Regions from separate parts of the Mus musculus genome. Here region 1 is reported to be linked to region 2. Evidence: microRNA targets listed by miRTarBase, many of them from high-throughput screens and not tested one by one. Region 2 holds a microRNA gene; the other region holds the end of a gene's coding sequence.

Evidence for each region. Region 2 holds the annotated microRNA mmu-miR-1933-3p (CCAGGACCAUCAGUGUGACUAU, at 2,932-2,953, shown strand). A microRNA usually pairs through its seed, bases 2 to 8, with sites in the 3' UTR of a target mRNA and lowers its output. Matches are read on the target gene's strand: a 7mer-m8 pairs with bases 2 to 8, a 7mer-A1 pairs with bases 2 to 7 and ends in A, and an 8mer does both.
Region 1: miRTarBase lists Sfxn3 as a target of mmu-miR-1933-3p. Seed matches in the 3' UTR shown: 7mer-A1 at 2,099-2,105.

Annotation. Positions count from the first base shown.
Region 1 is chr19:45,053,920-45,057,919 of GRCm38, forward strand. It overlaps Sfxn3 (sideroflexin 3), which reads left to right. Exons shown (of 11, transcript NM_053197.4): 10 at 383-430; 11 at 686-2,464. The coding sequence ends at 782. It also overlaps a transcript of Pdzd7 not described here. Among named protein-coding and RNA genes, the nearest start is that of Sfxn3, 8.3 kb to the left of the region's middle.
Region 2 is chr11:21,343,553-21,347,552 of GRCm38, reverse strand. Mir1933 (microRNA 1933) reads left to right here and starts at 2,878; the gene lies at 2,878-2,965. All of the region lies in intron 3 of Ugp2 (UDP-glucose pyrophosphorylase 2), which reads left to right.

The DNA of each region.
Region 1 (4,000 bases), not on the chromosome of region 2:
CAAGAGTTTAGTTGAGGGGTTCAGCCTTCACTCACCAGAGGACCCCATACAAGTAGACTCTAGGGTACAATCCAGGAGTTGCATCCCATTTTACCCCTGATCCTGTTGCTCTCTGATCCTGGGGCTTTGGGTTGATGCTCAAGAGGCTCTTTCCCCAGACAGGATCTAATATCAGGACTGAGTTTAACATCCCTGAATGGTCCTTTGACTCCATTTTCCAACCTTTATGGCTGGGATAGAGCTCAAAAACAAACAAACAAACAAACAAACAAACAAACAAACAAATAAGGCTTCACTCCTGGGGCTATTCCTGTGAGGTGGGGTACAGGGAGGGGACACAAAAGTCAGTGTCACAGACATTTCCTGTGCTCTTCTTCTCTAGCTTGGTATTTGCCACACCCCTGTGCTGCGCTCTGTTCCCTCAGAGAAGGTGAGTGACACCGCTGGACCTGACCAGAATCTCTGCCCGGGACTCTGCATCTCAGGCCCGCAGTGTGTTCCCGGGAGGTCTGACAGGAGCATCTGGGAGCCCGGGGTGGGGGGTGGGGTGGGGGTGGGGTAACAGTGAGCCAGCCCTTCTGAAAGCAGGGAAGATTCTTCACCGGGGAGTGGAGGGAAGCCAGCTCCTGGGTCTGAGACACTGAGCCCGGAGTATATTTACCTAGCCTGTGTTGTTCTATTGCAGCTCCATACATGTGACCAGGCTGGAGCCGGAGCTGAGAGCTCAGATCCAAGCACAAAACCCCAGCATCGATGTGGTTTACTACAACAAGGGGCTTTGAGGGGAGTCGGCCTCTGTCCCTGTCCTTACCTCCTTAGGCTGCTTCTCTGATGCCACCTTGCAATGCTACCACCTGTTTATCTTCTGGGTACTGGGCAAGGGGGCTTGATGTGGGGAGCAGCCACTGAGACCAGCAACCTTAGACTGGGGGAGGCACTCCTATAAGCCTCTCCGCTCCTCTCTGGTTTCAAAGAGCAAGTCACAAAACCCATCCCTCCTGTGTTTGTGTGTGTGCACTGCCACATATGCAGCACATGTGTTTATACATTTCATCCTGGAAGCTAAGAGCAGAAATGCTGTTCTAGGATGTCCTGCTATTTGTCTTCTCTTCTCAGTCTCCTGCCCACCTAACAGCAAGCCTGGTTATGGGTGAGACTTCCTTCCCTAAACTGTTCCTCTAGCTAAGTCATTTCTGATAGCATCTTAGCCTTCTGTGCCCAAGATAAGCCCCAGGATCCCAGAACAGGGACTGAAGAACATCGTAGGCCACCCAGAGCTTAACCCTTCAGGTTTCAAATACAGCTATTTGAACCAGCTCTAAAAGCTGGTTCAGGACGTGGGCTGGTAGAGGAAGCAGTGTGGAATCAGGGAGGCAGGGGGCTCATGCTTGCTGGACCCCACACCCTAGAATGGCTCCACTCCTCTCTTCTGGTGGACCATGGGGGTGTCAGTAGCCTGCACTGCTCTCCACACTGCATTGTGGGTGCTTTTAGAGACCATCTTGAGCATTCTTCGTCTGTTCTGATGAGTCATGTCATGATTCAGAAATCCCACACTTCCAATTCCTCCCCCAATCAGAAAGCCACACAACACAGGCAGAGCAAGCATTCCCTTCAGGAACTGCCACCACCCGTACCCACTTGTAGGGGCTGGTGTGGGACCGGTGCTTAAACACAGGCCTCAAGCGTACAGTATCAAGACAGGTAATTCTGTGTTTCATTGACTCTTCTTAGACACACCCCCCCCCCCTCAGCTCCTTCCTTTCCATCTACCCCGTCTCTGGAAGAACCCAAGGCTTCATATATGCTAAGCAACTGCTCTACCACTGAGCGACATCCCCAGTGCCCTCTTTCTCTTTTCCTTTCTTTCTCTCTTTCTTTCTTTCTTTCTTTCTTTCTTTCTTTCTTTCTTTCTTTCTTTCTTTCCTTTCTTTCTTTCTCTCTCTCTCTCTCTCTCTCTCTCTCTCTCTCTCTCTCTCTCCCTTCCTTCCTTCCTTTCTGTCTGAATGTGTCTGTCTGTCTTTCTGTCTGTCTGTCTTTCTTTCTTTTTTTGTTTGTTTTTGTTTTTCAGTTATGGTTTCTCTGGGTAGCCCTGGCTGTCCTGAAACTCAGAGATCTGCTTGCCTATGGCAGTGAGTGCTGGGATTAAAAGGCATGTGCCACCATTGCCAGCAGCCCGTCTCTTTCTTAAGACATGGCACTGCACTCCCTCTGCCCTTAATTTCAAAAGGAAGAGGGACCCAGGCTCTAATAGCTGGACCAAATAGAAGATGAGTTCGGGAATGGTGTGGGTGATACTGACTCCAGGGCATAGAATTATATCTCCACGCCAAATCCATGACCTCTAGCTAAAAGGTGAATGGGGTCCCCAGTGACATCCACGGAGACCACTTAAACTAACCTCCTCTTCCAGTGACAACAGCTGTCACGTCATGGTGTCAATAAACTGCAATCCTGTCTGGTTCTTGATCTTCAGTTATTCCACATCCCACTTGTCTAAGGAAGTGTCCAGGAGATTCTCCTGCCTTCAGCTCCTCCCCAAACCCTCCCCTACTGTCTGTAGGGAGTCTCATCTCCCAGTAGAGGGCTCTCTGAGCTTACAAAATGGGTCCTCTGGCTAGCAACTATACCCTTGGCTTCATTTCTATCTTCACTAAGAGGACTGCTCACATATATATTAATTGAAGCTCATGGCCTTTTGGTTTCCTTGACGACTCTGGCATAGGGTGGTGACCTCGGTCTCTAGGAAATCTTTACAGAGGGAAGAGGAGGCCAGCAAGCGCCTGCTCATTAGAGCGAAGCTGGTAGGGAATTGGGACATCCTCTGTCTTTACCAGGTCACTGTGGCAACTGGCCCGACAGGATCCCTCCATCACCCCCAGGGTTCTTCATTGTGTGTGTGTGTGTGTGTGTGTGTGTGTGTGTGAGAGAGAGAGAGAGAGAGAGAGAGAGAGAGAGAGAGAGAGAGGAGATTGAGGAGAAGAGAGACAACATTTAGGAATCAGTTCTTTCTTTCTGTTGAGTCGGCCTCCTTACTTTTATGATATTTTCCTGCCCCGGAGAAGATGAGGTAGGACATGAGTGCTTGTGTACAGGCGGTGAGAGCTAGAAAGGGCACTCTCAGCAGCATAACACACTTGAGGCCGTCCTGGGTTACATGAGACCCTGTTTCAAATAACAAGCAAAAATAGCAACAAGTTGCTGGCCATAGTGGTGCACCCCTTTAATCCCAGCCCTTGGGAGGCATGGCTGGCACATCTCTGTGTTCAAGGCCATCCTGGTCTACAGAGTGAGTTGTACAGTCAGAGCTACAGAAACTCTGTCTCTAAAAACAAATAAACAAAGAAAGAAAGAAAGAAAGAAAGAAAGAAAGAAAGAAAGAAAGAAAGAAAGAAAGCGAGCAACAAGAAAAACAAGACCAGAGGGACATGGTGGGGCCTGATTCCAGCTGAGCTGTGACACCCCACCACAGTGCCTCCTTTCATATGCCAGCTGCCAGCCACACCCAGTCTCTCTGACACTCAGGAACTCCTTCTCCCCTACCCAGTTTGTTTACAGACCAGCAAACCTGACAGGACCACAACTATACACAAACCTTTTCCTAAAACTACTAAGAAAGCTAGGCCAGAAGCCTGGAGCTGGCTCTGCATGTACCTGGGAGAGTCTGAGTCACGAGCCATTTTATGGTCGGTCAGTCAGGGCAACTCCATGAGACATCTTCTTGAAGTAAACAGAGAGATATACTTCAGTGGTTGAGTGCTTGCCTAACATGAGCAAAACCCTAGACTCAGTTTTCAATACAGTATCAAAAATAAAACAAAAAGCCGCAGCCACTACAGGCTTTCCAAATTTGAGCTTTATAACTTGCACGCATAAGCAAATAACCCCATTCTTGATTATATATGGGACACTTAGGTGGCCAGTTTCAATTTCATTCCACCCTGCCAATCACACCAAGGCCTCCTTCCAAGCCTCAGAGGCCAGGGCCAATTCTAGCTTC
Region 2 (4,000 bases):
CATACCTACTCCTTATACTTTCTGCCCTGAAATTATTTGAGAGAATCTTTTACTAATCCTTTTTGGGGGTTGGGATTCTTCAGTTTTGAGCAACTGAATATCCACACATCCCATTTTAAAACCAGGATAACAGCAGAATGTTCACACCAGGTACCGAAGCTTGAGAGATCTTTGTAAGAATTTCAAGCCCCCATAACATTTAGAATTATGTGTATGTGATTTGTTTTTTCCATAGTAGACAGTAGACAGTCAGTGTTGCCATACTCCCATAGGAGACCATGGCCTATGAAGGTTAAGAACTGCTGTCTTACAGATCTGGTTCTGCACATCTCTAATCCCAGCATTCCAGAGGTGGAGACAGGAAATCTATGCAAGTTCAAGACTTGCTGGTCCTACGTAGTAAGTTCCAGGCCAGTCAGGATTGCATAGTAAGACCTTGTCTCAAAATAAAACAAAACAAAACACAAAAGCAAAAAGAACAAAAAACAAAAACAAAAAAAGAAACTGTACAGAACTAGATCTTTACAAAACAAATATAGATCACTTATCAGCATTTTAGCTTTGTGTTTGTGGAGGACTTGAGTCCAAAACTGACTAACTGGCACAGGGATAAGACCGACTTTCTGGTCTCCTGGGGTGAACCTGACACAAGACTTCTCTGAGAGTAAATGGCTTATCAAAAAGAATAAACCTGTGAAAGTAAGACTCCAAAATACTGCTTAAAGTTACTCTCATGGTGGTCTTTGGTTGGACAGATGGTGAGTGTGGCTGGTTCTTTGTCTAGAGTCAGAAAAAGAACCAGAGAGTTTCTTTGCTCCTTCATTGGAAAACACAAGATGTTTATATTACAATTTTTAACGATAGCAAAATTCATGAATAAAGTAGCAACAAAATAATTTTATGGTTGGTGGTCACCACAGCAGGAGGAACTGTGTTAGTTGGTCTCAGCTTTAGGAAGATTGAGAACAGCTGTTGATACACATATACCTGCACTGTAGTCTTCCACAGGACTCTCTCTACAGCCGCTTTCTCTTTCCTTTTTATCCACCTCCATCTTCCCAGGCCTGCTTCCACAATGTGAATTATATAACTAACTAACAATGGCTAGGCCAGTGGGTTAGTGTGAGGTGGGGCAGGCAAGGTGATTTTATTAAAGCTAGCAGATTTTGACTTAAGAGAGTTGTTATTTGGTCCTTCCTTGGATTCTGGTTTGTTTGTTTGTTTGTTTGTTTGTTTTTGCAAGTTCTTTAATCACCTGACTTTGTCCTTCCTAATCCATACTCAGATGGGATGTTGTGTGTAAGCCACCACCCTGTCTGATAAGGATATGGACCGCATGCTGCACATGATTGACTTATCCTATGACCGTAGCTCTGTCTGACATCTACAACAACTTATAAGAGGAGTGTACCTTTTTGTTATGTTTAAATGCTTCTTGTTTACCATCTATGTATGTTGCTTTTACATTTTGTAGTTTAAAAATATTCGGAAGTCTTTTAATCCCCTAGAATTTCTATTCAAATTTTGAGAGTTCAGTAAAGTATAGGAGTGGATTTTTCTTCATGTTTACCTTTCTAAGTTCTAGGACCTTGCTTGCCATCTGTAAAGCGCTGCTTTTTATTTAATTTTTTGCTTTTTATTTAATTTTGATTTTCTCACCCTGGTTTTCTGCCAGTTCTTTTATCATCAGATCTTCTGTACTTTATGAGGTTTAAAGTACACAGGGATTTTACAGTTTTACATCTCTTCAGTAATTTGAAATTGCTCCCATTTTTAATAAGATGGCAGTACGTGAGAGTTTGACAGGTAAAAATATCAACAGTAGGAAACAAAATACTCTAAGTCGATTAAGATGTAAAAATTGAATTAAGTGGTTTACAATGGGTTTTTAAATAAACAATTTTACAGTAGTTTGAGTTAGAGAAAATTTTTTTAGAATCCATCTTGTTTTTAGCTGGGAAGGTAATAGAGCTATCTAAGCTAATTTTTATTGTCTGTATTCCATTTTAAAACTTCTTTCTGAGTCACCGTGAACATAAGATGATTACTCAAAAGGACTGAGAGAATTCCAAAGTTCAGAACGAAGTTTATAAAACAGGAAACATGGATATGTCAAAGGGTACCTGTGACTTGACTAAATATTGGAAACAGGTGGAAGCAGGCCATTGACTAGAGATTATTTACAGAAAGGTTCAGTTAAAACAATTGTCTTCATGTACATAGTCCTAAAGCCCTTTGAGGATTGTAATGTATTCTCTAATTTCAGGAGAGCATGAAATACCATTTCAAAGGTGCTTGTTTTATCTTTTATTTTCTAAGCCAAAAGTTAATTTTTGTTTTATTTATTTGAAATGGTAAGAATCAAACCACAGTCTTAATGCAAGATAGCCAAGTCATCTCTTTGTAGATAATTCAGCTATATCTCTTCTCAGTAGTTTTCATTTAATTAAGTTTGATAGATCATTTACTAGTAAAAACCAACCTAGGAAATTTCAGCAGCAGCAGGGAGACGGCCTAACACAGCTACCAGCAGCCTAAGAGACTCTTAGAGACCTCCTCTAAGGTAGAGCCAGATCCTTGCCTGTGCTGCAGAAAAGAGTTTCAAGAAGCCCCAGAGTGAAACAAAGTTAATTATTTTGTTAATTATTTGGCAGACTCATGGGAAACGGATAGTACACAATACCAAGATATAGGCATGGGCTTCTGGAGAAAGCATTGCACTTAAGGATCTTTACCATGGTAATATGTGTAATCCTGTGGCTTCTAAATTACCTACCTTCCTTCCTTTTCTTTCTTTCACTCATTCCTTGGCAGTTTCATACATGTGTAAGATGCATTCTGGTTACCCCTACTCCTCTCAGCACCTCAGCATATCTGTCCTGATCCCACAGTCATGGTGTTCGGTCTTAGTTTGTGACCAGTTTAGTTTAACCAGGACCATCAGTGTGACTATTGGATTGGGACTATCCACTGCGGTGAGTGTGGTGCGGTCACTGGTTAGGTATACTGCTGAAGGTAATGACTGTGTTTCCCAGAATCTTTCAGTAGGAAACAGTTTAGCAGAGAAGATTAGACCTACCCCCTCACTCATCCACGTCTGGCTGTTAATGAGCTCATTTTTGTGCAGGCTGAGCGAAACCATTTCCAGTTGTTTGAAGGGTATGCCTAAGTTGGCTGGATACTGCCCATTTGGGGGCTTTTGGAAGGCCTTCTCTCTATTTTCCACACTTACATTCTTTATGCTATATCCTCTTCTGCATTGTTCCTGAGCCTTGGAAGAAATGGCGTAATGCCTTGTTTAGGACCAAGCACTCAACCGTCACTTATTCTCAGGATCCTATATAGCTATACATTTGTAATTGTTGTAGAAACTATTTAATCCGGATCCAGGGTTTCTACCCTGCCTTAGATCATTTAGTTCCCAGATAAAAATCATACATAACCTTTATATTTACAGTTAGCCTTAAACAGTACAAGAGCTGGGCAGATATCTACCCTCTATGTTGTTAGAATCTACTTTACTATCAGTAACTCTGAGTTATTACTACTTGCTATGTTTCATCTGGGCTGTTCTTAACTCCAGTTGGCCAGCCTTCAGAGCCATGTTCTCTTGACTCCTAACCCATGGTGGTTTCTCCTTTATCCTCCTGTGCCTCTCCTCTTCCTTCTCCTCCCTCCCGTCATCCTTCTCCTCCAACCGCACGCCTGGGAAACCTAAACCCCATCTATGTCTCTTCTGCCCAGCTATTGGCTATTGGCATCTTTATTTACCAAGCAGAAATAACTTATGAGCAAGGTCTGTATGCTGACTGAGTTATCTCTGGGACACCCAGGTCCTGGGGGGCCGCACTTACCATTACAATAGATAACAAAAGACCAAACCTCAACATGTTATCTACCACAAGTGGTAATTGTTTCCATATACTTGGGAGATGGTTCCATGTTATGACAGTTTAGCACTCTGGCCTCCCCAGCTGTGAGTTTATGAGTACTTGTATCG